Linked DNA regions of Rattus norvegicus. The protein of the gene in region 1 interacts with the protein of each later gene in a biochemical or structural test. Links are inferred from orthologs where the notes say so. Each region holds a gene or a part of one and is shown in the gene's direction. Other genes may lie near its edges. The genes, in order: Top1, Nkx3-1, Srsf1, Ncl and Topors.

Region 1 (6,225 bases):
CCAAGCCTGATCTATTTGCCTTAAACCTCCTTGGAGTATGTCTTATATTCCCTCTCTGTACTATTCCTGGATTTTTTTTTTAAATAAATAAAAGCGGTCTCATTATGTAACGCTGGTTAGCCTGAAACTCACTATGCCAGGCTGGCCTCAAACTTACAAAGATCCCCTTGTTTCTGCGTGTGGAGTAGTGAGTTAATTAAAGGTGTGGGTCACCACGCCCAGCTGAATATTTTTATTTAAAATTAATCACCCAATATCTAAAAAAAAAACTTTAGCTTAAACAGTTATTCCATGGGTTTTATGTGGCAGTTAAGTGGTTTTTTTTCAACATACACATTGAAATAGATACACGTCCACTTAAAAAAAAATGTCAAAGTTCGTCTGTGTAGGACCAAAAGTCCTCTCAAGCGATAAGACCATGCGTGGGATCATTAGTTGGAGAAGAGAGTGGTCACGTGGACATCACTAGCCAAACATGGAGGCAGAGGTGTTTAATCTATGGCCCGATGATGGGTAGGCATGATTGAGTCTAATACACTACCACCTTTGATACACCATTCTGGAGCCTGCATTCTGTTTCTATGTCTAGCTGGACTTCCTGGGAGGGATCTGGAAAGCCAATGACGATTATCCCAAGTTACCAGGGGCTGGAAGCTAAAGCAGAGGACTATTTTTCTTGAAGGCTGAATTATCTCAGCCTAACTGCAGTAAATGGGTGGGAACCAGATGCCTCGCCTGCTGGCCCTTTGACATGGGAAGGCTATTGAGGAGAGACGCTAAGCCAGGCAAAACTGACTCTGGCATATGGCTACGGAGAAAGAGCAATGGAATCAGGCAGGCCTAAATATTAGATGATAGATATTTTCTACATGCCCCCCAACAAGGTCTTTTTGTTTGTTTGGGATAGTTTATTAAAGACAATTATCACCGGGAGTCAGAGTGGTTAAACAACTTGTCCAAGGTCACTCAGAATAGGAAAATTCTGCATGGGAAAGCAGAATTCAAAAATGGGCCAGTTGACTTCCAAGTGTGGACTCTTAGCCACTGCATTACTGTACTTGCTTTTGCTTATTGGGCTCTTCTGTCAGAGGACCTGTTGATGAATCCTGGGGACTAAGTGCTGAACAAGATGGAGAGGTCCTCACCCTCACTGACCTCGAATTATATAGAGACAGACAAGAGGTCACTAGCTCCCCTATGAGTAACTTAAAGACTGTGGTAACTGTTATAAAGGAGAGAGGTAGGAAGGATCGGCATGTGGAAAGGGGCGTTTAGTTGAGTTTTGAAGTATTTACAAGAATTAATCCCAAGTGATTATCTCTCATAATACGTTTATGAAGGTTTTCCGAATTTATTTATATTTTGACTTAGGGGGGAATTGAGCCCGAGTGGAGATGAATTCAGCCTACGATCCAAGTGTTGATGTCATTAATCCCTCAAGACAGTAGATGGTCCACACCTAGGACTGTGAGGATTCAGGGCAGATCTCACAGCATGGTGCTCCCTAAATAATAGTTCTCTCCCGGGGTAGCGTCCTGAATAGAATCAGGAACCATTTACCTGGGGAATCCAATTCCCTTTGATCTGGAACCGCAGCCCTCCCACATCAACAGTAATTCCTGGCTCACTGTAGGTGCTTCATAAATATTTGAAAAAAGAACAAATGCAGTAGGGCACTTGTGACACCGGGCTACATGTATGAGTTTGTACCCTGGAGCTAAACCTGACTGAAAAATTAAAATAACTTTAAAAAATGGACGTGAAGTAATCCAGAAGTCTGAGGTCTGGACAAAGGCTGTGAGAAGACTCCAGCTACATGTGCCTTAGGGCCGCTGGTGAGCTGAGATCCCGGTAGCTAAGGTACGCGCGGATCAAACTTGTCTGGTTCTAGAAATGCAGAGGCTGGAGACTCGGTCCCTGCCCAGCCCAGCTGGGTCCCGCCGCGGCCTTTAAAGGCCTACCACGTGGCTGCACGGGTGTCCAGGGTCCAGAGGCGGTGTCCGCGCTGCGCCTGCGCACTGCCTAGAGCCGGCGTACCGCCTCTGAGAACGCCAGCCCGAAGCAAGGCAGAAAGCATAGGATGGGAGGAGCCAAGGCCATATGCTAATAAAGGGGCGGAACTTGCAAGGCAAAACCGGCTCTGTCTCCCGGACCTCTAAGAGACCCGCCGCAACCCTCAGCCTCTTTCCACGAGCGCTGACGTCGGCGACGTCCCATTTAAAAGCGGCCGCGCAGGCGCAGTGAGGGGAAATGCGAACTTAGGCTGTTACACAACTGCTGGGGTCTGTTCTCGCCGCCCGCCCGCCCGGCAGTCTGTCAGCAGCGTCGCCGCCGCCGTCGCCGCCTCCTCAGCTGTCCCGGGGAGTCTTGGGCCCTTGGTTGCTGTCGCCGTCTGTTCGTGCCTCTCAGGAGCTCCGTCCGCCTGTTCAGGCCGCCCCGACCGTCCGCCTCTCTTCCCCGCGCTGCCTCTGAGCCCGCAGCGTTCGCACGCCGGCCGACATGAGCGGGGACCATCTCCACAACGACTCCCAGGTGCGACCCGCCGGCCCCGATCTCGCCGCCGGCCGCCGGGTTCCGGCTCCAGCCCCTCCGGCCGCGCCGGGTTGACAGGCCCGGTTCCGCGGTGAGGGGCAGCCGGCTGGAGTCGCTTGGATGGTCGGGCCCCGGGCGGAGCCGTCAAGTTGGAGTTTGGGGGGGATGGCAGCCCCGGGTAGGCCATTCGCGGGCCTCTGGGTTCCGGGGCGCCGGGTGGGACCGAGCCCGGGCCCCCGGCCGCGCGCTCTCGCTCGCCGGCCCGGGGCTTCATGTGCGGGTTGTTTCATCTTCCCTCCTTTTCTTTCCTCAGATCGAAGCGGATTTCCGATTGAATGGTGAGTGTGCCCCCCGCCCCGCCCCGAGTGTCCCCACACGCCGCTGGCTGCCTCCCCCGCGCCGGGCCGGAGCCGGGCAGAGGACAGACATGGCGTCCCAGAGACTAAGTCCCGGCTCCTCGCTCACCGGCCCCATTGTTCCCATCGGGCCGCCTGTGGACCCCCTTTCCCGGGGCCCCAGCACCCCCAGATCATGGCCTTCCCCAGAGGGGACACTGGAGACCCCGCGTCGCCCGTCGCTGGGTCTCGGGCGGCCTTTCTCCGCCGGGATTCTTCCCGGGAAAGTCGCCTTGTCGACGGTCGGGACTTAGTCTCTGCGCCATTTTCTTTTTCTCTCTCCTCTCCTTTCTGTGCCTGTGTCTTTCTCTCCCTCCCTCGGCTCCTTCCTTGAGCTGTCCAGAAAGAGCTTTCTGCAGAGCAGAGCCATATAAATCACAGACCTCACCAGAGAAGGAAGGCTTAGAGACGAAATTATCATTTTTCCTTCTTAATAGAACTTTATTTTGGAAGTTACTTGCTTTCTGCTTCGTGTTTGCTTGCTTTTTTTTTCTTTTTCTTTTCTTTCTTTTTTCTTTTTCCTTTTTTTTTTTTTTTGTGTCTGTGTGTGCTTCCAGAATGAAAGATTCCCATAAGGGTAGCTGTTGGGTTTTATGGGCTTTTTTTTTCGTCTTCTTAATTTATTTTTTAAATGGTGAGATGTTTACGATAGCAGTTATGGTTCTTAAAACTAAAGCCATCTTTCATGGAGTTCTTTGTATTTGGGGATTGTTTTCCCAAGTTGTGTTCTTTGCAAAGATACCTCCCTTTCAAAAAGTTTTCAAGTTGTCTGTGTGTCACCTAGTGTGAGTGTTGGACTTGAGCATATTTTCTTTTAAAAAAAATTAAAAGTATTAGTGACTAGAACTTCCTATTGTGGCTAGGGTTCCCAAGGCAGGTTTTTTCCTTTTTCTTTCTCTCTCTCTTTTTTTTAAAGAGACATAGTTTAGTGTGCTCGTCCTAAGGAAAGGTTGTTGAGCTAATCATTTGGACATGATGTGCTGGCCTTTTCTTGAGGGTCATATGGAGTTTTTAAAGGGGTCTTATTTATTGAAGCAGAGTGGCCAGCCCTGACTCCTGTCCACTTGCTCATTCTTCTCAGGGGCTGCTGTTTTTTCAGGAATCAAGAATTAGCTAGCTTTCCCACACCCTTACACTTTTGAGCCCTTTCCAGTCATTTGTTTTTTTAAATATTTACACCGGTTACCCAGGAAAGAATGTTCCTGGGTATCTCCCACCACCCCAGTAAGAAGCTCCCATTTATGAGTTTTCCAGCAATTCCATTGTAGTATACTGGAAATTCCCACAGATTCTTATGGCACATGATCGTGTTCAGTTGAGTTTGGGTTCTGGGGAACTGAGTGAGAGAAGCCATTGGGTAAGCTTTTCTGGTGCAGAAGTCCATAGTACTGGTCTACCCAACAGAAAGCAGCCTTACCTTTATATTTTGAAGTGGGTCACCCAAAGAGAGATGGCACTGAGTTAGAAAATCTGTCTATCTAGGTAAAGCTATGCTTTTCTTGAGCACCTAATATGTGTCAGTACTGTGCTTAGTACTAGAATTGAACCTGTCACCACATCTGTCTTTGTTCAACTCAGCCTACTGGGGGGAGTCATTAGTTAATTACAAGGTAGGTGTTGGAGTATGTATATGTGTACCCAAAATGCTTTGGGAGCATAAAGGGTTTAATTTTATCTGGGGGTGGGTAATTTCAGAGGTGACTGAGCAGGGTGTTGTATAAGACTGGGTGCTGAGAATCGTCAGGGGTTGGATTGTTTCTTGGGAGTATTTGTCCATCCTGTCAGGCTTTTAAAAGAGGGCTATGAGACCATCAAGCATATAGATGTGCTTCTTTGAAAAGGGGGCAGAAAAGGATGTGGTAGGTATAGATGTAAAAAGTGGTTCTGAGGGAAGGTAGGAATTAAATATAGAAAAAGTGTTTGCTCTTTAGTTGAGCCTAGTACGTGTTATATTTAGCAATGAAACAAAATTGAGCCTTTTTTCCTCTTAAGTTTAACTTCCATTGTTCTCATTTAAATACAAAAGAGCTATTGAATGTGTGCATAGTTATGGTCTGGGTATGTTATCTTTGCATTTTTATAGAGTGAATTAAACTGCCTGTGCTAACTTTTAGGCTATTTTTCCATTTTCCAACAGTGATATTTAGTATTTATTGAGCACCTGTCAGGCTTGAATCTCAACTCACCTGATTTACTCTTTGGAAGGACCCTTATGAGTTAGTTACTGTTATCTCCATTTGAGATGAAACTGAGTGTACTCTAAAGCCATGAACCTAGCCTCCCTCCGTGCAATAGGGATGCTGCTGCTATGAAGAAATGACGTTTCCTGTTTTGTATAGGGCAGTTAGAGGGAAAGGGAAATACTGATGGCAGGCCATCTACTTTTTGCCAAAAATTTGAAGACAAAAGCAGTTTTGTGTGCCTACTACCTTAAGGTTCTGATGCTGTAGTGATGTCTTTGTAGTTATTGTCTAGATGTTAGTGTCAGTAACTTTGCTCTTTCAAGTATACACTGTGAACTAGTGAGTGATCAAATAAATATGAAAGACAATTTAAAAAAATTAAAGCTAGTTTTTTAATACCAGGCTTAATTGATCTTTATAGTGAGAGGATATTTAAATATGATTTTAAGTGTGCCTGAACAATCACATTAAAACCACCTTAATTTGCTTGCCCAAATCCTCTAAGGTGTAAAAGACTTCCTCCCAGCCCCCATTGTGGATACTTAACATTTACAGCCTTTTGTGTGAAATTTAGAACATTCTGGGTAATACTCAACTGCTGTGAAATGTTATTTGTGTAGTATATTTATATTGAAGATTTTAGCAATGAGCTAGTCATTTCAGGAGCATAGCCCAGACTTCATACTTCCCTCTCACCTGAATGAAAAAGGTTCCTTTTGTCAGTAGCACTAGCCATAATGGGGGTGAGTCATTACAGGATGCCTAGCTGTACAGTTGTTAACATTAGTTTAAGGTGCTGGGAATCTTTTTCTGTTTCAAGAACTTTAAGTTACTGTCTGTTTTATTGGACTTAATGGAGCTTCCTCCAATTACTCAACTTCATTACATTATGATTTGATAATGTGTATATTATGGATAGGTTTCATGGATTTAATTTGAATGAAGGGAATTGTTTTGATTGTAATGGTTGTACTTCTGTGCTTGCTGTCTGTTGTATATGAGTGATGACAGGCAATGAGAAGGCTCATAATGTGGCTTTAAACCTGAAAACTGGTTGTTTCTCCAAATGAAATCTGGAAATCTTTAGATTTAGTCTGGATGAATGTAAGTATTAG
Region 2 (6,043 bases), on another chromosome or scaffold:
TTGATTTGTATCTCTTCTTCTTTTTAAAAAAGTGATTTTTACTTTTAAAACATTATGTGTGTATTTGCATATGTGTGTATGTGAGTGCATGTGTATTTGCACATCTGTGTGTATGTGAGTGCATGTGTATTTGCACATCTGTGTGTATGTGAGTGCATGTGTATTTGCACATCTGTGTGTATGTGAGTGCAGATGCTGCAGAAATCAAAGGCATCAGATCCCCTGAGGCTGGTATTACAGGCAGATGCTGAGAATGGAAATCTAGCCCCTTGATTTGCATTTCTTTAATGAGCCTGATTAAAAAAACTTTCTCCCATGTGCCTGTTTACGTTTACATCTTTGAGCCTTCCAGGATTTATTTTGAGACCAGGACTTTATACTGTCTCATCAATGAAGACCTGCACCCGGCCAAGATCAACATCATCAACAGTCAAGTGCAAAATCAAAACTAAAGCCAAAATAAAATAGCACTGTACCTATGTTAGTGCCTGAAATGAAGAGACTGACAAGAGCTAATAAGGATTCAGATAACTGACACTCGTTGCCTATGGAAACGGTGGCATGGTCACGGTCATGCAGAAGAACAGCTAGCCTGTTACTCTGCATCTCTTGGTTCAGTTATTTTTATTTCTAACCATTGTGACCAAATATACAACAGAAGTAATTTAGGGAAGGAAGGATTTACCTTGGTTGGTGGTTTGATGGTATAGTCTGTTAACATGGGAGGAGCATATTCAGATCTCAGTCAGCCAGAAGACACAGAAGAGTAAGCCGGCATTCAGTTTGCTTTCTCCATGTTTCCCCCTTTGCACACTTAAGGTGGAATTCTGCCCCTCCCTGCCACGGTTAACCTTCTCACAGGCACACCCACAGGTAAGCCTCACTAAAACTCTGATCAGGTTGGTGATCCAAAGGAGCCACCTACCCCCTCATTGCCCAGCACAGCAACTGCACCCCTGGGCAGAGAAAGGAGACTTGCTGCACTAAGTCTCTGCCATTCCAACCAAAACCCAGATGCAGACCAGTTAAGTGAAAACCATGTTTGCTGTAGTTTATGAGTCTAGAACTTCGAGCCCAAAATTAGGTGGCCTAATTGGGTGCAGTACAACAACATGAGAGGAGCATGGGCTGGTGGGAAAATTCATACACTGGGGCCAGGAGAGGAGGGAAAATTGTAGCTTACGATCCTTATGTCCTCAACGATCTGAGGACCTGTCATTAGGTTTCATCTCTTAAAGGTCCAAAGCATCTCCAAAGTACCTCCCTGGGGAACAGCATTTATGTGTGGGCCTTGGAGGAAGAGGAAATTCTTCACACACACACACACACACACACACACACACACACGAGCGCATATACACTAAATAAATAATCCTATCATGAGGGACATTCAAGTTGTTATTTCTGCCATTCCCAATAAACCTATAACTTCATATATATACATATATTATATGTGTGTGTGTATATACATATATATTTTTTAAAGGAAAATAAGTCTAGGTAAAATGCGGAGGAAAGCTAGCTTTTCTGAAGGCCTTCCGGTTATTCATCTCAGTTTCCTTCAGCAGTTGCTGTATTCTCAAGAACCTGTTCCTCTTTCTTCCTCCTCAGACATACAATGTAGTACCCTGCAGAGCAGATTCTAGTTGAGTCCTCATGCCTTAGACCACATCAGACTCTAGTTGCATCCAGTAATTAAAAAAAAATCAACGTGGGCTTCCCTCAGTTTCCACTGAATGTTACTATTTTAGCAAATTTCTTTTATCAGATAGGGTCTGTTTACCAACCCAAAGCAGTGCCCCGAACCACGTGACACTTAAGTGACAGACATGGGGAGCCCCGACTTGAGTGTTCGTTTCTTTTGTCACTTTAGTTTGTGTGGTGGTGGTGGTGGTGGTGGTGGTGTGTGTGTGTGTGTGTGTGTTGTTTGTAAACAAAGACAGGGCCTCACTATGTAGGCCTGGCTGTCCTGGAACTCCCTGTGTAAACCAGGCTGGCCTCCAAATCACAGAAATCCACCTACCTCTGCCTGTCTTCGCTGGGATTAAAGACACGCCACCCAATACAGCTTGAGTGTTTATTTCTTAAGTATATTCTTTACTGGCGTTACAGCATATGGTCAACTCAGGAAATGAAACACTGCTATACAACTTTGACCTTCCCTAATATACTTTTGCTGGTTGTCCACATGTGTCCAGCTGGGAATCCAGCGTGGGGCCATCGTGAGCCTGATTGTCAGACCTAGAACCACTCAGTAGATAGGTCTGACTTTGTTATCAATCTCTCTTGCTATCTGAACACAATTGGGGTAGGTGAAAGGACCTGCCTGCTCAGCTCAGTGGGCCAGGACGTTTTACCGATCTATGAGAGCTACTCGCAGGTCTTCCACATCGCGAATCCAGTAAGAGTTTGGGGTCTGTGGCTCATCTGGGAAAGGGAATGAGGGGATAACCAGGAAAGGCTAAGAGCGCATCTGGAGCCTACTCCGCGCAGGGCTCGCCTCTTGGGGGGTCACCTGGAGCCCACCGCAGCCAATCGGGGCGCAGCCGTGTTCCCGCGGCCAATGGGCGGGCGGCGCGGCGCTCAGCATGGCTATAAGTGCGCGCGACCTAGCGATAGCAAAAGCGGCGCGCAGTGGAGGCGGGATGCTTAGGGTAGCGGAGCCCCAAGAGGCACGGTTGGAGGCGGGTGGTCGCAGTCCCTGGGCAGCGCCACCCACGCAGTCCAAGCGGCTCACGTCCTTCCTCATCCAGGACATCCTGCGGGACCACGCAGAGCGGCGTGGGGGACAGCCGAGCACCCCGCAGCACCAGTGCCAACCAGACCCTAAGAGGGATTCTGCTTCAGAGCTCGACGAAGCAGAGGGTAGCAGTGTGACTCTGGAGGACCCGCCAGGTATCCGGTCGAGCCCCACAGAGACACGGGCTGAAACCGAGTCAGGTAAGTGGAATAGACCAAAGGGCATGCTCCACAGGAGAGGACGCTCTCAGGCTGATGGCCACGAGCTCTGGATACAGGCATCCGGGAGTGGGGGTGGGGGAATGGCCACAGGAAGGACCTCAGGGTCCTCTGCACCGAGCCACCTTGAGCATCAACCCTGAGGGCAGCTAATAACTTTGTCATAGGCTTGACTCTTTTCCAGGGGCTCCAGCCATTTTACCACTGGCTACTAGAACTAACGGTAACCATCAATAAATCAAGGCCACTCCTAGGTTCCTTAGGTCTCCATTCCACAAGCCATAAAATTATTGATGTTCCTTTAGGACTTTAGAAATAGGATCGATTACGCCTTTATCCCACCCCAGCCCCAACCATTTTCCATGCTGGTAACTAAGCCACAGTCACAGAAAGGGGACTAGGGCAGAAAATGATCTGTTCACCATCCCAGGCTACCTGCTCATCTCCACAAACCTCAGTCACCCACTTAAATGTCCCCACAATGCCTCGATGCCTCGGTCTTCCCTGTTGGCACGTCACCCACCTCTCTTTACCTCATACATCCAGGATCCACGTTTCACTGATGTAAAACAAGGCAGAAAGTTCAACTACGTGTACTTCACACTGATTATTAGAGGCGAATACATAGTATAAAAACCTACTTGCTTCTTCGGGGTAGTTCCTTAGTCATGCGAACAAAGCAAAATGTATCCAGATGACAGTGGGCTTTTTGTTCCCTAGCTGAACACAGAAAGGTGGCTTGAATTCTGGGCTAACATGTAACTCTTTTCTTCTCTCCTCTGTTCTTCTCCAGATGCACATTTTGAGACTTATCTGTTGGACTGTGAACATACTCCAGTCTTATCAAGTGCCCCCCAGGTCACCAAGCAGCCACAGAAGCGTTCCCGGGCTGCTTTCTCTCACACTCAGGTGATTGAGTTGGAGAGGAAGTTCAGCCATCAGAAGTACCTGTCCGCCCCTGAAAGGGCTCACCTGGCCAAGAACCTCAAACTCACCGAAACCCAAGTAAAAATATGGTTCCAGAACAGACGCTACAAGACTAAGCGAAGGCAGCTGTCAGAAGACCTGGGAGTCTTGGAGAAGAACTCCACATTGTCTTTGCCAACCCTGAAAGATGACAGCCTATCCAGGGCCTCCTTGGTCTCCGTGTATGCTAGCTACCCCTACTACCCCTACCTATACTGTCTGGGCAGCTGGCATCCAACTTTCTGGTAACAACAGTTCAGATGACAACTGCATAGATCAGAAACTGCCTTCCCTGGGGGTCCCTGGGAAAAAGCCAGAGTGGCTGATGTCAAGGAGTTGAAAGCAAGAAGTGTACAGACACAAACTGTTGGGTGTTCCCAGGGAATACTCCGATTCTTCTCTGGTGGCCAATGAAAGATCTGGGGCAGTGGACATTTTATTATGTAGTCACAGTTCCAAGTGTTCTGTAGGTCACGGCTGTCAGTTCCCTGTTTAGAGAGAGCTAGACAAGTTCAAGTCTTATTTCCAGAGCTTAGAGTGGCTATGGCTGCAATGGCTACATCGTTCCTAAGAATTCTGTTGCTGCAATTTCATCCTCTCCCATAACTGGGTATCATGAAAGGGCCAAGCAAGGGGAGGGATGGCCCCTTAGATGAGGATTTCCTCTTGAATTAAACTTGTGTTTAAAAGTCTCTTGTTGGCCTTGGACTCTGACCAGAGTTTCCCTCTGCCCTTGTAAAAGTGAGGGTAAACGGGAGATTTGAAGAAGGGGAGAAAAAACCTTAGTGATTAAGCAGGTTGGCATAGGACATGAAGGGGCTGGAAGGTGGCATTTTCAACTTCTTACTCCTTTTGCAGTGATGTGCCAATCCAAGGATTTACAGGGCAGCCTGAGTGCAGCAGGGTACATATACTGAAGGGGGTTAAGACAAGCTGTGTAAACAGTTTGCCTGCAGGGGTGGGCTTCAGAACAGACTTCCTGTCCAAGACAAGGGCCTATGGGGTTTCCAAACTCCAGGTGAGCTGCTTCGGTCATGACATTTTATTACCAGTGAAGGGGGAGGGGAGATCTTAGACTCAGGAGATCCTGCAGCTTCCCTGGTCTGAGAATTCACACCTCATTATGACAGAGGTGCCATCATTTTTAAACAAAGGATCTTCCTTCTATTCTTTTATTTCTTGTTCTTTCTTACAGGACTCCTCAGTTCATTGTTTTCATATATGCCTGTCTTATTTAGTGTAAGATTTGCTCCCACCACCTCCCAAGTTTTATCTTTCCCAGTTTAATAACTAACTAGCTTCAGACAGATTATGAATTGACTAAATGACATACTTAAAAAAAACCTAGCAACTCATCTCTTTCCTTTAAAAATATGACATACTTAAAAAAAAACTAGAAACGCTATCTCTTTAATTTAAAAATACTTAGCATTAAATCCCAAACCCTACTTAAAAGACCACGAGAGCTGAAGATCATGGTTTCTTTCACAGGACTTTCTGCTGGCTTTGTGCCCATTGGGGTCCCTGTAGGCACAGGAGATCAAGGGGCATCTGCTTTTCATACATAAGGAAGAACAGGACAAAAGGAAGGGCTGGCACTGCTGACAGGTCTGGGAGAGAGAGGGGTCTTGGCCCAGGCATAGCTGTCAGCCCAAGCCAACCAGCAAGCAAGGAGTGATAGCTTTGCAGAAAGATGCTATGAGGAAAGGTAAACTGTCTTCAAAATACAACCTCACTACAGCGTCCATCCACAGATGAGTGTGTAAATGCTTTAGAAAACTGTGTTTAGGGGCTTCCCTAAAACGGGAGGAGTGAAAAAGAAAAATGATTGCCCCTCCCTTTCCATCCTGATACCTCAGTGCTGAGTGGGAGATACAGAACACACCTATAACAAATGAGGCTTTCTGGGGCCAGGAAATCCCTTTATCCCACCACTCAGTACTGTGCAGTGAGAAAGCTTTTAATTTCCTCCTTTTAAATGGGCCAAATTACCGTTGGTGGCAAAACTGCCAAAGGGAGTTGATGGAAATTTGGCCTCTTGCACCCCGTTCTTTTACAGCCCCATGTTAAAATATTGTTCGGTGCCGCTTGTTGCTGACTGCTGTGGCAGCATTAGACC
Region 3 (6,219 bases), on another chromosome or scaffold:
AAAATATGTGTTACTAAAACAAAGACCAAGTCAATTTTTCCTAGAAGTTAGCAGTCGAACATTTAGAACGTTGTCTTTTTATTTAGTAGTACAAATAACAGTAATCACCAGAGAGGTCAATATACACTTTGTAAAACTATTTTTTTTATTTATTATATGTGAGTACACTGTAGCTGTCTTCAGACACACCAGAAAAGGGCATCAGATCTCATTACAGATGGTTGTGAGCCACCATGTGGTTGCTGGGATTTGAACTCAGGACCTCGGGAAGAGCAGTCGGTGCTCTTAACCGCTAAGCCATCTCTCCAGCCCAATATACACTTTAAAAACATAAGAAAATGTGTATTTCAATTCAAATTACTCAGGCTCTACCCCAACATCACCTTCCATGATAGAACTCTGCTAAGTAACAATTTTGCTGATTATAGAAAAACAGAGGACCCTAGCCCCCTTCCTTTTGAGACATGTCTCTCTACATAGTCCTGGCTGTTCTGGAACTCACGACATAGCCCAGTGTGGCCTTGAACTCCCAGCCAGCCTCTCAGCACTGCTTTATGAACTATGGGACTAAATGCATGCCTCACCATGACTTTGAATCAGTGTTTTACATAGATCAGCTCAGCCTTGAACTGGGAATAGAGGATAACCTTAAATTCTTTATCTCCCTTCTTCAGCTTCTCCAGGGCAGAGACACCAGCCACCCATACTCACCTTTAAGATTTAACAAAAATTTCACTTTTCAAAAAGGTGGTCCTAAGAGGGAGGAGGGCTAGCCTAAGAAGTTGAAGGGGACCCTGACTCAAAAATCAAACAAAAATCATTTTTTCTCCTTCCCCACAAAAATCTCTCATTTCCCCCATATTTCAACAAATATCTTTGATCATTTCAAATTGAGTTTGTTTTGTTTTATTTTGGTCACTAAGACATTTACAAAATGCAATTTTGTTGTTTTTTGAAGCAGGGTCTCATATGTAACCTAGACCTACAGTGTTTTCATTATTTTCCTTGTTATCTAAACCTGAGTGCTGAGATTATCCATGTGGGCTCCCATGCTTGCTGTAAAATTCATTTCAAAATTGTTTAATATTTAATATTTCAAAATCACTTAAAATTTGAATATACTATGCTCTCCTCTTCTTCTGGGGATACTAGTCAAATTTGAAGTTGATCTCTCAAAATTCAACAAGTTATTTCAGGCATTTTGCCTAGAAATCTTATACAACACTTCTGCCCCTCCCCCATCCCCGTTGTCCTTGATTTCTCCAGCCAGTCTTAATATTTAATGGTTTCATTTTAAGCAGCCCTACATCCCTGGACTGTGGTAAATAAATGATAATGTATAGGGGCAGCAGATGGCTCATCTGATAAAGATGCTCCTCAAAAGCCTGACCACACATAGTGCAAGTGGTGAACTGCACTTTATTTTCTAACTTTCACACATGGGCTGGGGCATGACCCACCACCCCAAGGCACAATATGCATAAAATAAAATTGAAAACTAAAAATTACAGTGTAGAGAATCAACCTTAAAATTTCCGGGGATCCGATTTAGCATACTTATTCGAGATAGGAACTGCACAGCTCTGGCTGGCCTTGAACTCCTGAGATTCTGAGGCCTACTTTGAAAGGAATGCGCCACCACACCTGGCTGTCTTATTATCTAAACAGGAAAGGTTCTGGTTTTAGCCAGGAGGTGGTGACTCATCTTTGATCCTAGCACTTAGAAGGCAGCAGGATCTGAGTTCCAAAACAGCCAGGGGCTGTTCAAACCAAAACAGAAACCCGAAACTCAAAAACAATGCCAAGAAAAAGGTTTGTTTTTAAAAAATTTTAATAGAAAGGGTTTCCCTGCATGTCCCGGGCTGACCTTTAATAGAAATGTGTATCACAGAGTAGGTTTATCACCTCCTTGCCTCAGCTCCCAGAGTGATAGGATTTCAGGCACACAGACTTAAGTCCAGCTTAGTTTTGTTTTAATTAAAAAGCCTGTATGATTTCACAAATAAAACTCTCCTATTCCCGTTATTACAAAACAAAGAAGCAAAATTGTGGTATCCAGTACAAAAATCCTATTTCAGATAATCTCGGGGAAAAAGTTATCTCCCTAGACTAGCACCGAACCCGGATCTCGGCCCAAAGAAGCAGTTAGTATTTTATCACGTTTCCTTTTTCATCCTTTGAAAGGAGGAAGAAAAAAAGCGAAGGCACGGTTCATCTAAATAGATATGGAGGATCCGTCTAGACACTTTTAACTGTGTAAAATGCAGCCCACCGCAGGTTCGCAGAAGCAAAAGCCACACAGCTCCCCTTAGGCTGTTAAACGAATCTCCTGCAACTCGGCCGGCCGCACCGAAGTGCTAAAGTTGCCCAGGTTTCCGGAGCAACACCCAGCGTCATCTAGCTCCGCCCCCTACGCCTTTCCCGCCAAAGGCCGTTACCACCGCGGAGCATGTTGGGACACAGTTGCAGGCTAGGTTTCACCCAATCTTTTTAAAGCGCCGAGCTGCTTCCAGAGAGAGTTTACGCCAGAGGAAACCGACTATCCTGGACTCAGCAGGATTGGTAATAACCCCTTTAACCAGAGTATGTGACTTTTACCAAACGTCTGGCCGCTCCACCAGCCAATCATCCCATAAGCCCAGGACCCGAGGGACTTTTTCCCCTCCGTGCGGAGGGTGACGTCGCGCGTGCGCGAGCGTACTTCTCAGCACCCGTTACGCTCGTGCGCGTGCGCACTGAAATGGAATAGCCGCTTCCTCCGGCTTCTCTTCCTCCCCCTCCCCCCCATATCAGTGCGCCGAGCTGATAAAGGCGCCATTTTGGACCGGCCGCGGGAGACGTGGTGCCGCTGAGGGCTCGCTCTGCCGTACGCTAGGCTTGGTGGGAAGGCCTCTTTTCGAGTCCGCGCTTTTCGTCGCCGCCATGTCAGGAGGTGGTGTGATTCGTGGCCCGGCAGGGAACAACGACTGCCGCATCTACGTGGGTAACCTACCTCCAGACATCCGAACCAAGGACATTGAGGACGTGTTTTACAAATACGGCGCTATCCGCGACATCGACCTGAAGAACCGCCGCGGGGGACCGCCCTTCGCCTTCGTTGAGTTCGAGGACCCGCGGTGAGGCAGCGTGGGGCTTGCGGCCTTGAGGAGATAGGCTGGAGTAGTTGGGGAAGGCTCCGAGGCCTTAACATAATGGGGGAAGGAGGGGCTCCGAGGCTGGGAGCGAGGCGCTATCGCCCCTGCAGGAGTCGAGTAAGGAGCCGAGTCGGCGCGTTGTCTCCGGTGGCTGACCGCCTCGGACGTCCCCAGAGCCCATGCGCAGCCCCGGAGCGGGAAACTGAGGCGCTGAGGGCTGGCGTGGTGGTCGGGAGTCTGCCCGGCGTGTTTCTGGGTGGGGGAGGGGCCGGTCCTATTATGCAGCGCATGTGGGCTCTGGCACCATGGGTGCGCATGTGCGCTGTCCGCGGGTTCCCGAGTGAGTTAGCTTTGCCAGCGGCTCCCTCCTCATCCCCTTTGCTTTCTGTGATCACACGCAGAGACGCGGAAGATGCGGTGTACGGTCGCGACGGCTACGATTACGACGGCTACCGTCTGCGGGTAGAGTTTCCCCGAAGCGGCCGTGGGACCGGCCGAGGCGGCGGCGGGGGTGGAGGCGGCGGAGCCCCGAGAGGCCGCTATGGCCCGCCATCCAGGCGGTCTGAAAACAGAGTGGTTGTTTCTGGTGAGTTGACTTCGTGCGGGTTAAAATTTTTCCCGCGTGATTGTTTTGAGGTCTGCAAGTTTTCTGTTTTGCTTTAAACATGGGGTCTTAAACTACTTCGGTCTTTCGGGTGAATTTAGTAAATGAAGATTACTGTGGTGGTGATTTACCCAAATTAGGTTGCAGTACTAGCCTATGAAGATCCTTTACAAATAAATTTGGACTCTGGATCTGACTCTTACCAGCTCTTTACCTGGAAACACTTAAGTACAATCATTAAGTATTTTAAACTAATCTTTGTTTTAATGTACTTACACGTTTGATGTGGGACAGGTTAAGTAGTATTAAGTTGGAGGGACTCACTTTTTCAGGACTGCCTCCGAGTGGAAGCTGGCAGGACTTAAAGGATCACATGCGTGAAGCAGGTGATGTATGTTATGCTGATGTTTACCGAGATGGCACTGGTGTCGTGGAGTTTGTACGGAAAGAAGATATGACGTATGCAGTTCGAAAACTGGATAACACTAAGTTTAGATCTCATGAGGTAGGTTATACACTTATTCTTTTTTTTGGCCAGAATTGGATACAGTTTTCTTAACAGTGGAATTTGAAGGTAAGGATACAGGCAAGGGTGTCCGAGTAAATTACCAGAGACCTGGTCTGTCTTTGTATTCATTCAGCTTGTCTGAAAGACAGGTAAAAGCTTAGATCTTTCAATGGAAAGTTCTGTCTATCCAATAGGGAGAAACTGCCTACATCCGGGTTAAAGTTGATGGGCCCAGAAGTCCAAGTTATGGAAGATCTCGATCTCGAAGCCGTAGTCGTAGCAGAAGCCGTAGCAGAAGCAACAGCAGGAGTCGCAGTTACTCCCCAAGGAGAAGCAGAGGATCACCACGCTATTCTCCCCGTCATAGCAGATCTCGCTCTCGTACATAAGATGATTGGTGACACTTTTTGTAGAACCCATGTTGTATACAGTTTTCCTTTACTCAGTACAATCTTTTCATTTTTTTTAATTCAAACTGTTTTGTTCAGAATGGGCTAAAGTGTTGAATTGCATTCTTGTGTAATATCCCCTTGCTCCTAACATCTACATTCCCCTCATGTCTTTGGTAACTTGTATTTTAAGTGATGTCATAGACAGGATTGTTTAAATTTAGTTAATTTCCATGCTCTTCAGACTGTGATATTATGTAAATGTCTATTCTGCTCTGGTTTGTGTGAAATGGGATGTTGGGGGTGTTTGTGGTTATCTTACTTGGGGAAGTTCTTATGTTTATCTTGCTTTTCATGTGTCTTTCTGTAGACATATCTGAAGAGATGGATTAAGAATGCTTTGGATTAAGGATTGTGGAGCACATTTCAATCATTTTAGGATTGTCAAAAGGAGGATTGAGGAGGATCAGATCAATAATGGAGGCAATGGTATGACTCCAAGTGCTATTGTCACAGATGAAATTGGCAGTATTGACCTTATACTAAAAGGCGAGGGTTAAAATTTTATCTACCTTAAAAGACTTGCAAACATCTTATGCAGTTATCTTCAGCTACAATTGCTTTGCTTTTTAAAACCTTGGCAATTGTGGCAAAATTGCCCGTTTTGTAACAGTTATTTGCTCCCTTCCCCCCTTTTTGTTTTAATAGGGACTAATGTGGGAAGAATGGCTAATTTGTCACAGTGCTTAGTTACAACTGTTAATGTGTGGCCTGCTGTTGGTGTACATGTGGGTACAGGGTGTCTATTTCCAAACAGAGTATAATATCAATACTGCTAAATCTGCATGTCCTCTGTGTGACTGATAGAGCGTTGTTATTTCATTTTTTAAAGACAAAAATGACAGCAAAATATAGAATTCCAACATATTAATGTAGATAATCTAGTTGGGAATACTTTTGTCTCACTTTCCCTTTTAATATTCATAATTGACTCATGTTTAGAACACTTTAATTTACAAGCTAAATTGCAGATGGGAGCAATAGATTTAGTTTAGATTTAGGTGGGTAGTAATACCAGTAAACTTCAATTACATAACTTTGCAACCACAAAACCTGTGATACCTGTACAGTAACAAATGTTGGCATTATCAGTTGAACTGTAAATATAAAGTGCTTCTTCCAGTTAGTCTCTGTAGTGATTAAGTTTCTAAAATTTATCTGAACACCATACAGAAAACTTGTTTTGGGGAATTTGATAGTTATTGATGTACATCTGTAAACTGATGACAGACATAACTCATCATTCCCCAGAAACTTTTTTTGGTTACAGTATCTAACATTTTGCCTCCTCTTTTTTGGTTTTGCTGGTTATAAAGGTTTGGATTGGAGAGGGCTCACTGGATCCCAATCCTTGGAGCTGGATCATTGGATTCAAATCATAATGTGGATAGGATAGGGAGGATGAATTACCAGGATTCATGGAGCGGGATCAGATTACCAGGAACATAGGAGTGGATTCCTTCCTGCCCCAACCAAACCGCATTCGTGTGGATTTTTTTTCATTCAACTTAATTGGCTATTCCA
Region 4 (6,187 bases), on another chromosome or scaffold:
CTGGTACCTGGCTCTATTTGTATAAAAAAATTAGACACTGTTATTGATCTTGGTTTTGTGCATGCCAGGCAGGCACTAACATCCTCACACCATCTCTACCTTATTTTTTGAGCAAGATCACCTTTTATGGTTAGACAGGCTTGTTAGCAGATGCCAGGGGTCCTCTTGTCTCTGCTTTCCACAACTCCCAGTATTGGAGTTAGTTATGTGCTGCCAAGCCTCCACCCCCATGCTTCCTACAGGGATATGGGGGATCCAATTTGATATGGTTATATCCAATTATAATTTGTATAAGCACCACATATGTATTAGGTGTTTGTTGACTCCACTGCAACACAAATTGTACTAGCTGTCCCTGCTGCTGCTGCTGCACTCAAACTTGTTCCTAAGTTAGGGCCTTGTGTGCACCTACCATTGAGCCACATTCCTCACTCCAGTTAGCAAAATTTCCAAACTATTATATGCCAGGCAATGGCTTAGGTACCAAGAATAAACAATCCGTGTTCTGTCTGGGTAAGGGGCAAATTAACAATAAACGCCCAAGTACTAGGCAACTGATAATACCTAACAGTGTAACCTAGGGTCACAAGAGTAAGTCTCTTAGTGGCACTTTACACCAGAGGGCTGAGGAAAGCCCAACAGATTGAATTGACAAAGAGAAGTCATGTCATTTCACACTCAGAGCTCATCTTCTCTCCTCCCGAATGCCTTTAGCTTGCTCTGCTTGGAAATATCCAGGTCTTCCTCACACCATCCTTCCTATCCCTCTACCCAAGAGTCTCCCTTGGCTCCATACTATACAGTTGAAGGTGTGACCGGTCTCACTTTAAAGACAATGCCCCCACACAACACTGGTCCGCATCACCTGCCCTGACTAGAGAGCACTTGTGTGTAGCTGTGGCTGCCCTCCACCATGTTGGGAAGGCCTTAGGAAGTAAGCATCACGCAGTGACTATTTCTACTTATCTCCAAAGGCCCGTGTTCAGATAGAAAACCCGGGGTCTCAACACATCCCACTTGAGTTAAAATCTCCCGAGGATGGCAAAGGAGGGGGCAGGGGTATCTCCGAGTTCGAAGGCAGCCTGGTCTAGAATGAGTCCCGGGGCAGCCAGGGCTACAAAGAGAAAACCTATCTCAAAAACTCCAATCAAGGGGTTGGGGATTTAGCTCAGCGGTAGAGCGCTTGCCTAGCAAGCGCAAGGCCCTGGGTTCGATCCCCAGCTCCGAAAAAAGAACCAAAAAACAAAAAAACAAAAAAACAAAAAACTCCAATCAAATCTTCTAGATTGGGCCGGGCGTGACGACGCGGGTCGAGGCTAGCCTGGTCTACACAGTGTGCTCTAGGACGGCCAGAGCAAATAGTGAGGCCCTATCTCAACCCCCACCAGCACCTCCACAGGTAATTTTTAATCGATATTGTCAGCTGATGAGGGCACCCGTTTGCTACGCTTGGAACCAGTTAGTGGCAATCCGTTTAAAGCAATCCAAGACAACTCTCTCGTCCTCTGCCACGGAGGGAACTCGTGAGCGGTCCCAGGCAGGCCGAGTACTTCTCCCACCACACACCAGGAAGTCACCTCTCTGAACCTGGAGTTATACCTACCGCGTGAGGTCAGAGATTAAATGGACTGTTTGTGCACTGCTCACACACACACACACACACACGCGCGCGCGCGCGCGAAATTGCTTTTATTAGGAGCTCTCAGGAAAGTGGTGGCTCGCATCAGGCTACCACAGCCAAGAGGACCGCCACCTCTACCGAGGGCAGGCCAAGGCCCACTAAACGGCCCGAATGAACTCTAGGCCTTCCGGCGCTCTCCAGCTCTTCAGCGCGGCGAACGTTCTAGGCCCCTGAGAAGTCCACCGGGAGGCGCAGGTTTCCGCTACGCAAGGGAAATCCCCGAGAAATGCCCAGACCACCTAAGCACAGACGTCCATGCGGCGTACGGATACCTGAGGGAATCCGGGCCATACCGCCACCTACTCGCGCCTCACTCAAGCCGCGCCAAACTCGCGCGTTTCACTGCGCAGGCGTGTAGCGAGCGGGCGCTCAGGAACACTCAAAGGACCAGCACACTGACCAATCAACGTCCGCCTTGGCCAAAACTAGTCCCGCCCTCAAAAGCAGACGTCAGGCCCTGCCCCTAAGAGCCCCGCCCTCCCCCACGCTTTAGGCCCGACCCACGCCGTCCTGGGTTAAGGCTCGCGGTTGGTTCGGGGGACGGACGCGAGCTCTGGTTGGTGGAGGTGAGGTCACGAGAACACCTTCGTCGCCTTTCCAGAGGCGATTACTGGGCAAGCTCAGTCTTTTGCCTCAGACGCTAGCTGTAGCTGGCAGGCGGTTGTACGTGCTCCAGAGTCTTCATTACCCGCCGATCCAGTCGTCTTCGCGTGGGTTCCGCTAAGCTCTTCTGAGCTGCTCGCTCTCTACACACGCCGTCGCCGTAATCCGCCATCATGGTGAAACTCGCAAAGGTAATAGGCCTGACGCGCGAACACGGACGACTAGGCCTGCTTTCTGAGAGACGCGCGCGCGCCCGTCGCGGAGGGGAGGAGGGCCTGCGCACAGTCCCGGGCGCGTTCGAGGGCGCCATGCTGAGGGAAGTCTCGCGCGACTAGCGGGAGGTCTCGCGGTGTTTGGCCTCTGACTTGAGGGATGAGAGGAGCCGAGGCAGGTTCTGGGAGGGCGATGTAGAGTGCACCGGGGCCGGGGGTCGGTGTGAGGGGAAGTCGGAGGAGTTGAGCGCGGAGAGGGGGTTGGAGGCTCGGCGAGTGAAGTGGGCCAACCTTAAGCGGCTAGCGCTCTCGGCCCCGCCTCCCGGCGCACGTGCTCCGGTGCGCGGCCCGCCACGTGGGTTACGGCGCTCCGCACGTGTCGCGCGTCCGAGGCAGTGAGGGGAGTGGGAGTACACCGGGAAAGGGGACAGTAGAGTTGGCCTAGTTACCTAGCGATCCGCAGTCCCTGACCGTGACGGGTAGATGGACACGTGGTGGGCTCCTGAGGTAGCGCGTGGTGACCGGCTAGGTGACTCCACGTGGTTTGGCTGTAAGCGTGAGAAAGTAGGAAGTAGCTCCGATACAGAGATGCTTTTAAGAGGTGCCTTCGAGATAACCCCCTTCCCCGGCAAATAGTTAAAATGGAACCTTTAACTGGGTTTTTTTCTTTTTTGTGGAACGTGCCAGAAAATAAAGTGCCACGACTAAGTAGACTTTAAAAACCTGTGGCTGTTTCCTGGTGAAGGTTTCTGTCTGTAAGACAAATTATGCGCAGTTCTCAGAAAAATTTGCCAGGAAGAGTGTCGTGCCTGGCCACGAGAAGTCTTTATGCTTGTGTTCTTTAGTAAGAAAGGAGGTGGTGGCCGAGGACAAAGTGGCTTACAATGCGGGTGATTTTTTTGTGTGCATTTGTAGGCCGGCAAAACCCACGGAGAGTCCAAGAAAATGGCTCCTCCTCCAAAGGAGGTGGAAGAAGATAGTGAGGATGAAGAAATGTCAGAAGATGAAGATGACAGCAGTGGAGAAGAGGAGGTAGGATGCTATTTGAAAAATTGTGTGATTTGCAGTGGTAGATTGACTGGAAGTGTCAGAAATAACAGTCAGTTCGGGGGGGTGTCTGGGCAGAGTTTCGTATGTTGTATTGAGTAGAGTTTACTGTAGATTTGTGGGGTGGTTTTCCCTCCGTTTTTGGGAAAATTGCTTATTCTAGCCTAATTTTTATTCAGTCCATGGTCACTTGGCTTTGTGAATTTTGGCAGGACATTATGACAGGAAGCTGTAGACCAGCCTAACCTCAGATAGGTTCTCCTGAATTAGGTGTTAGCCACAGTATCCAGACAAATGACAAGTTTAGTGAGAAACCCAGACTTTGATCTAGGTAGAGATGGAATCAGGGTCTCAGCTTAGGTGGTACCATGTGAGTTTTTTGGGGTTACCCCCCCTTCTATATATTAAGGGACTAAGCTGGACACTTTAGAGGAGAGGGTAGCCTTTTTAGATTCTTGTTCTCTAAGCAAAATTTATTATTCCCCGTATTCTTTATCTCACATGGTTTGTTTTTGCAATACTGGTCCCTATCACTGAGCTTCAGCTTATTTGAATCTTAATTCCAATCATTGTTCAAAATACATTGTATGGGTAGAAAGCTGCTAATAACCCATTTGCTAGATATGACATTCCCAAGTTTCATTTAAAGACAATCTAGCACACAGGAGACAGAAATAGGAGTACATAGTGAAACCTTATCTCAGGACAGTTTTTATGGTCATGCTCAATCAAATTTCTTAGAAAAGCTCAGGTGCTGAGTTAAGAGTCCAGTTTTTTAAGCATTGAAGGCCATGTATCCTTATTTAAGGGTTTAATGTTTATCTTTATGTGTGTGAGTGCATTAAGCATGCTTGGTCCCCTCATGCTAGAATAGAATGTACTTGGATATCCTGAAACTGGTATTACAGCTACATGTGGATGTTAAACTTGTTATAAGAGTAACAAGTGGGGCTGGGGATTTATTTAGCTCAGTGGTAGAGCGCTTACCTAGGAAGCGCAAGGCCCTGGGTTCGGTCCCCAGCTCCGGAAAAAAAAAAAAAGAGTAACAAGTGCTCTTAACTTCTGAGCCATCTCTCCAGTTCTTTACTTTTTAGAAACATATCTAATGTCTATCTTGTGTTAGTAACTTAACATAGCATTGGATATAGAGGAATGCTTATGATTTGTTTGCTTTCAAGGTTGTCATCCCTCAGAAGAAAGGCAAAAAGGCTACCACAACTCCAGCAAAGAAGGTGGTTGTTTCACAAACAAAAAAGGCTGCAGTTCCCACACCAGCTAAGAAAGCAGCTGTTACCCCAGGCAAAAAGGCAGCAGCCACACCAGCCAAGAAAGCTGTTACACCAGCCAAAGTAGTTCCAACACCTGGTAAAAAGGGAGCTGCACAAGCAAAAGCATTGGTACCAACTCCTGGTAAAAAGGGAGCTGTCACTCCAGCCAAGGGGGCTAAGAATGGTAAGAATGCCAAGAAGGAAGACAGCGATGAGGATGAAGATGAAGAGGATGAAGATGACAGCGATGAGGATGAAGATGAAGAGGATGAATTTGAGCCACCGGTAGTAAAAGGAGTGAAACCAGCAAAAGCAGCTCCTGCTGCTCCTGCCTCAGAGGATGAGGATGAGGAAGATGATGATGATGAAGAAGATGATGATGATGATGATGAAGAGGAGGAGGAGGAAGATGGTGAGTTAGAGCTTAGGATATTGAGTACTGCATGTACACTCCCTGACCATCATGGTTGGATTAAAAACTCATATTTTATGCTTTTAATTCTTTCCATAACTTAATGGGTTTTTATTTCCTTTTCAAGGTTTTCCTTTTTTAAGTATTTGTAGTGTTTATGTTGTCTGGATTGGTAGCAAATGCATTTGCCTACTGAGCCATCTTTCTTTCAGACTCTGAGGAAGAAGTTATGGAGATCACACCAGCCAAAGGAAAGAAAACTCCTGCAAAAGTTGTTCCTGTGAAAGCCAAGAGTGTGGCCGAGGAGGAGGAAGATGATGAGGATGATGAAGATGAAGAGGAGGATGAAGATGAAGAAGATGAAGAGGACGATGAAGATGAGGATGAGGAAGAAGAGGAAGGTAACCAGATTAACTTATAAAGTATGCTGACTTAAGTAATGCTTATTAATGGAAATGCTAAAAAGTCTGTGTACTCATGAATGACATTTTAAAACATGCAGAACCTGTTAAAGCAGCACCTGGAAAACGGAAGAAGGAGATGACCAAGCAGAAAGAAGCCCCTGAAGCCAAGAAACAGAAAATAGAAGGTAAGCCTGCAAAATTGGGACTTAAAAGGAGATCAGAGTAGCAATAGCACAAGTGATGACTAACAAAGGGACTTAATACTGAAACATCTGGGATTGAAATGCAGTATGCTGATGTGCTTTATAGTTTATGATGAAATTCACTTGTCGTATGCTTAAGTGGACTAAAAAAGCTCATTTTTTGTGCAGGCTCAGAACCAACTACACCTTTCAACCTGTTCATTGGAAACCTTAATCCAAACAAGTCTGTTGCTGAATTAAAAGTTGCCATCAGTGAACTTTTTGCTAAAAATGATCTTGCTGCTGTGGATGTCAGAACTGGTACAAATAGGTATGTTTTTCATTAAATGGTTTGTGTGTATCAGCTAGTATTTTTAC
Region 5 (5,461 bases), on another chromosome or scaffold:
GAGGTGTACACAGGGCACAGTGGCCTGGCTGAGGTGTACACAGGGTGCAGTGGCCTGGCTGAGGTGTACACAGGGTGCAGTGGCCTGGTGAGGTGTACACAGGGCACAGTGGCCTGGCTGAGGTGTACACAGGGCACAGTGGCCTGGCTGAGGTGTACACAGGGCACAGTGGCCTGGCTGAGGTGTACACAGGGCACAGTGGCCTGGCTGAGGTGTACACAGGGCACAGTGGCCTGGCTGAGGTGTACACAGGGCACAGTGGCCTAGCTGAGGTGTACACAGGGTGCAGTGGCCTAGCTGAGGTGTACACAGGGCACAGTGGCCTAGCTGAGGTGTACACAGGGTGCAGTGGCCTGGTGAGGTGTACACAGGGCACAGTGGCCTGGCTGAGGTGTACACAGGGCACAGTGGCCTAGCTGAGGTGTACACAGGGTGCAGTGGCCTGGTGAGGTGTACACAGGGCGCAGTGGCCTGGCTGAGGTGTACACAGGGCACAGTGGCCTGGCTGAGGTGTACACAGGGCGCAGTGGCCTGGTGAGGTGTACACAGGGCGCAGTGGCCTGGCTGAGGTGTACACAGGGCGCAGTGGCCTGGCTGAGGTGTACATAGGGCGCTGTGGCCTGGCTGAGGTGTACACAGGGCGCAGTGGCCTGGCTGAGGTGTACACAGGGCGCAGTGGCCTGGCTGAGGTGTACACAGGGCGCAGTGGCCTGGCTGAGGTGTACACAGGGCGCTGTGGCCTGGCTGAGGTGTACACAGGGCGCTGTGGCCTGGCTGAGGTGTACATAGGGCGCTGTGGCCTGGCTGAGGTGTACACAGGGCGCTGTGGCCTGGCTGAGGTGTACACAGGGCGCTGTGGCCTGGCTGAGGTGTACACAGGGCGCAGTGGCCTGGCTGAGGTGTACACAGGGCGCAGTGGCCTGGCTGAGGTGTACACAGGGCGCTGTGGCCTGGCTGAGGTGTACACAGGGCGCTGTGGCCTGGCTGAGGTGTACACAGGGCGCAGTGGCCTGGCTGAGGTGTACACAGGGCGCAGTGGCCTGGCTGAGGTGTACACAGGGCGGGTTCATTCTGCCTCTTTCTTTCTTTTTTTTTTTTTTTTTCTTTTTTTTCGGAGCTGGGGACCGAACCCAGGGCCTTGCGCTCGCTAGGCAAGCGCTCTACCGCTGAGCTAAATCCCCAACCCCTCTTGGTTTTTTTAATGTCTTAAAAACCCCTTTTTCTGAGTGGGTTAATTAAAAATAGAGAGAAATGAAGAGTTCTAAAAAGAAAGTGGAAATATCTGAACCATTAAAGAAACATTTGTTTGGATTAATTGACCTCTTAAGGTATGGTTCTAAGAAAGTCAAGATGACGTAAGTGAACACACTTTATTATTTTTTTTCACGTGGAGGAGGTTTATTGGAGTGGCGGGGATGGGGGGTAGGGAAGAGAGGGAGAAGAGAGGGAGAGAAAGAGTAGAGGCCAGCCGTGAGCATGTGGAGAGAAGGCATTCCCTCTGAAGAGGTGGAAGAGGAGCACTATGCTCAGAGAACTGTAAAGAAAGGATTGTTTTCATATGTACAAGATGGTTAGTAGAGCGTTTAGCACAGCAAAGGGTTAATGGGTGGGGGGGCTGAAATACATGTTTGGTTTCAGCCTCGGCCAACTCATTCCGGAAGTAAGCTACAACGTGATGTGATAAATATAGAGAAACTGATCGTTAACATTCTGGTGTGGGGTGCAGACAATGAGGAAGGAAACACCAAGCATGTAATACACCTGTGGCTTCACTCTTAGATTCAGCAAAAAAGAAAGGTTAGCTCTGGCCTGTGTGTACAGTCAGCGCACTCAGGAAGCAGAGGTGGTAGTGTTGCCTAAGGTTGGGAGGGCAGTCTGGGCTACACAGTAAGACCCAGTATCGACATAACCAAGACAACAGCGAAAGGAGCTGTGGAGGCTCCTTAGAAACACTTAGGAATGATCCACGGTTGAGCATAATGCATGGTAATGGATGGCTGTCTGTCTCATGCAGTCCCCACAGCTGACACTCACTTAGCTGCTGCCTTCCGCTGCTTTAACACTGAAAGACCATGTTTCAGTCAGGCTCTCACTGAAAACTAGAATGTGCTTAAACAGGTGAAATCTCTCAAATGTAAAGTACTTTGTAAAAGCTGTTTCAGAAAAGTTAATGTACTGTATGACGTGCAAAGTTACGTACACATAAATTGTTTCGTATGCTGTTTTATATAAATATACAGTATATCATGAATAGAGTAAATCATTAGAACATAGTGTTAGAGGTATATGTGTCTGACAAACACAAAACCATACATGAAAACATTAGAGGACAAGAGGGGTTTTTCTCTTTTCTTTTTCTAATAGCCCAGTCTAGGATGGGAAGATAGTGGTCACAACATCTGAGATAACTGGCTCACTGGAAGGTTACTCATTAAGTCTGAGTGAGGAACATAGGTACCTGTTTGCTTTTGTGCTTATGTGCTGTGTCAAATACTTAAAGACTATGTAGGCTATGGTATGATATCTAAGAGCTTACCACGTACTGGTTCTTTTCCTAACACTTGAGGGTACAAAGAGAATTGGATCGTAGGAAACTGATCTTGGAGCTCGTCTGTTGTTAGGCTTTTATTATGTACTGTCTTTATGTTAAAACCATTTTTGCTGAAGTATGAACCGAGTCTTCATGAAGCTTTTTTGTTTAGTTACCCGATTACTGAGTTACTGATCCATTTCTTTCCCTTTTACAGATAATGGCCTCAGCTGCCAAGGAATTTAAAATGGACAACTTTTCACCTAAAGCTGGCACTAGCAAACTGCAGCAGACAGTACCGGCCGATGCATCTCCTGATTCTAAGTGTCCTATATGCTTGGATAGATTTGATAATGTGTCTTACTTAGATCGCTGCCTACATAAGTTCTGTTTCCGCTGTGTACAAGAGTGGTCAAAAAACAAAGCCGAGTGCCCACTGTGTAAGCAGCCCTTTGATTCCATTTTCCATTCTGTGAGGGCTGAAGATGACTTCAAGGAGTATGTGCTAAGGCCTTCCTACAATGGTTCTTTTACCGCCCCTGAGGTTCGAAGATTCCGCTACCGGACAACTATGACGAGAGAACGGAACGCCTCTCTTTACTCTCCCAGTAGCACTGTCAGTAGAAGAACAAGCACTCCGCCAGACAGTGGAGTGCTGTTTGAAGGGTTAGGCATCTCAACAAGACCTAGAGATGTTGACATTCCTCAATTTATGAGACACATGGCATTAAGGGGGCCAACTGCTACAGATGAGAGGTCTTTGCGGAAAGTTCAAGAACAAGATATTATTAATTTTAGGCGCACTCTTTATCGTGCTGGTGTTCGAGTTAGAAGTATCGAAGACGGTGGCCGCTACAGGGATATTTCAGCTGAGTTCTTCCGTAGAAATCCAGCTTGCCTTCACAGATTAGTTCCTTGGTTAAAACGTGAGCTTACCGTTCTTTTTGGAGCCCATGGCTCGTTAGTCAATATTGTCCAGCACATCATCATGAGTAATGTCACTCGCTATGATTTGGAGAGTCAGGCATTTGTGTCGGACCTAAGACCATTTTTGCTTAATCGAACTGAGCATTTTATACACGAGTTTATCAGTTTTGCTAGATCTCCCTTCAATATGGCAGCTTTTGACCAGCATGCTAATTATGATTGCCCTCCTTCATCTGAAGAAGGCAGCCGTTCTGATTCTTCAGTTATTACAATATCACCAGATGAGGCTGAAGCCCAAGAGCTAGATGTGAATGTATCCACCATCAGGCAGGCACCATGGGATGATGAAACTCCTGGACCGTCATATTCAAATTCAGAGCAAGTGCATGTTGGCGTGTCTTCCCTTTTAAATTCTTCGGACAGTTCAGATGAAGAACTTGTTTCTGGAGGAGCCGCATCTCAGATACAAGGAGTACAGGCCAATGACGACGTAAACAATGACAGCGATTCATCATCAGATAATTGTGTCATTGTTGGGTTTGTTAAGCCATTAGCTGAACGGACCCCAGAACTTGTTGAACTGTCTTCTGATTCTGAGGAGTTGGGCTCTTATGAAAAAATGGAAACAGTGAAGACACAAGAACAGGAGCAGTCTTACAGTTCAGGTGATAGTGATGCTAGTCGAGCTTCATCTCCGCGTTCTGTCCTTGGAAAAGATGAGCAGATGGGTAAAAGCCATTGTGATTCGGACACAAGAATAAACTCAAAGAAAGAAGAGAAACGATCTACGTCATTGTCAACTCCCAGGGACAGCTCATCTACAAGAGGTGACAGGGCATGTTCCCCATATAACCATCGACATAGGAAGGGAGGAAGATCCAGGAGTTCAGATTCCCGTTCCCAAAGTAGAAGTGGACATGATCAGAGGAATCACAGGAAGCATCATGGGAAGAAAAGATTGAAGAATAAGAGATCCAGAAGCAGGGAGAGTAGTAGCAAACCTAGAGCGAGAAAGGACAAAAAGAGATCAAGAACTAGAGATAGCAGCTGGTCAAGAAGAAGCCAGACCCTTTCTCTAAGTAGTGGAAGCACTAGTAGATCAAGGTCTCGTAGCAGTGATCATGGCAAGCGAAGATCACGAAGCAGAAATCGAGATCGCTATTATTTAAGAAATAATTATGGAAGCAAATACAAGTGGGAATATACTTACTATAGCCGAAACAAGGACAGAGATGGTTATGAGTCGTCATACAGGAGGAGGACTCTTTCAAGAGCCCATTATTCTAGACAATCTTCAAGTCCAGAATTTAGAATTCAGTCTTTTTCTGAAAGAACAAATGCCAGGAGGAAGAACCACAGTGAAAGGAAATACTACTACTATGAGAGGCACCGATCGAGGAGCGTGTCGAGTAATAGGTCGAGGACTACGTCAGCTGTCCCTGACCGGATGAGAAATGAGAAGCCTGGAGGGAAGCGGAAGTACAAGACCCGCCATTTGGAAGACACTAATGAGGAGGCACAACCGTCTCGTGCATTTGCTTCCAGAGTGAAGGAGAGTCATTACCAAAAGCCATCAAAATTGGACGGAGGTTCTAAAGACGAGAGCGATAGCTTTTCAGATAGCAGACCATCAGACAGAGAGACAAAACACAAGAGGAGGAAAAGGAGGGCACGGAGCCTAAGTGTAGAGATAGTTTATGAAGGAAAAGCTACAGACACAAGCAAACACCATAAGAAGAAGAAGAAGAAACATAAGAAGAAGCATAGGAAACACCATGGAGATAACACTTCACGGTCCCCGGTGGTTATAACCATCGACAGTGACAGCGACGGGGATGCTGGAGTGAAGGCAAGTGTTGAGTGTAGCCAGAGCAGTCTTCCTCAGCCTGGACAGGATGAAGTCTCCACTCCATCCTCGGAAGCATTTGAAACTAAAGATGTCGTCACGATAGAGGATGAGCTTGCTGTCGAGGACAAGGAGTGCGATGTTACGGCACTTACTAA

The links.
Region 2: the proteins of Top1 (region 1) and Nkx3-1 form a complex in vitro, tested with the Homo sapiens proteins (2 studies listed by BioGRID and IntAct). The link is inferred for Rattus norvegicus from reciprocal best matches to the Homo sapiens genes TOP1 and NKX3-1.
Region 3: the proteins of Top1 (region 1) and Srsf1 form a complex in vitro, tested with the Homo sapiens proteins (2 studies listed by BioGRID, with this or other methods). The link is inferred for Rattus norvegicus from reciprocal best matches to the Homo sapiens genes TOP1 and SRSF1.
Region 4: the proteins of Top1 (region 1) and Ncl form a complex in vitro, tested with the Homo sapiens proteins (2 studies listed by BioGRID and IntAct). The link is inferred for Rattus norvegicus from reciprocal best matches to the Homo sapiens genes TOP1 and NCL.
Region 5: of the proteins of Top1 (region 1) and Topors, one has a biochemical effect on the other in vitro, tested with the Homo sapiens proteins (2 studies listed by BioGRID). The link is inferred for Rattus norvegicus from reciprocal best matches to the Homo sapiens genes TOP1 and TOPORS.

Annotation. Positions count from the first base shown.
Region 1 is NC_086021.1:169,710,885-169,717,109, forward strand, and holds the start of Top1 (DNA topoisomerase 1), read left to right. Parts: upstream 1-2,310; 5' UTR 2,311-2,499; coding exon 2,500-2,532; intron 2,533-2,845; coding exon 2,846-2,870; intron 2,871-6,225. UniProt on the Homo sapiens protein: Releases the supercoiling and torsional tension of DNA introduced during the DNA replication and transcription by transiently cleaving and rejoining one strand of the DNA duplex.
Region 2 is NC_086033.1:50,881,020-50,887,062, forward strand, and holds Nkx3-1 (homeobox protein Nkx-3.1), read left to right. Parts: upstream 1-2,641; 5' UTR 2,642-2,645; coding exon 2,646-2,940; intron 2,941-3,751; coding exon 3,752-4,173; 3' UTR 4,174-5,234; downstream 5,235-6,043.
Region 3 is NC_086028.1:73,333,700-73,339,918, forward strand, and holds the start of Srsf1 (serine/arginine-rich splicing factor 1), read left to right. Parts: upstream 1-2,798; 5' UTR 2,799-2,922; coding exon 2,923-3,116; intron 3,117-3,535; coding exon 3,536-3,720; intron 3,721-4,070; coding exon 4,071-4,243; intron 4,244-4,440; coding exon 4,441-4,635; 3' UTR 4,636-5,005; coding exon of another isoform or gene 5,006-5,044; 3' UTR 5,045-6,219. UniProt on the Homo sapiens protein: Plays a role in preventing exon skipping, ensuring the accuracy of splicing and regulating alternative splicing.
Region 4 is NC_086027.1:94,452,228-94,458,414, reverse strand, and holds the start of Ncl (nucleolin), read left to right. Parts: upstream 1-2,331; 5' UTR 2,332-2,457; coding exon 2,458-2,475; intron 2,476-3,411; coding exon 3,412-3,528; intron 3,529-4,721; coding exon 4,722-5,223; intron 5,224-5,435; coding exon 5,436-5,624; intron 5,625-5,725; coding exon 5,726-5,812; intron 5,813-5,857; exon of another isoform or gene 5,858-5,929; intron 5,930-5,998; coding exon 5,999-6,140; intron 6,141-6,187. UniProt on the Homo sapiens protein: Nucleolin is the major nucleolar protein of growing eukaryotic cells. It is found associated with intranucleolar chromatin and pre-ribosomal particles. It induces chromatin decondensation by binding to histone H1.
Region 5 is NC_086023.1:60,184,874-60,190,334, reverse strand, and holds part of Topors (E3 ubiquitin-protein ligase Topors), read left to right. Parts: intron 1-2,747; coding exon 2,748-5,461. UniProt on the Homo sapiens protein: Functions as an E3 ubiquitin-protein ligase and as an E3 SUMO1-protein ligase. Probable tumor suppressor involved in cell growth, cell proliferation and apoptosis that regulates p53/TP53 stability through ubiquitin-dependent degradation.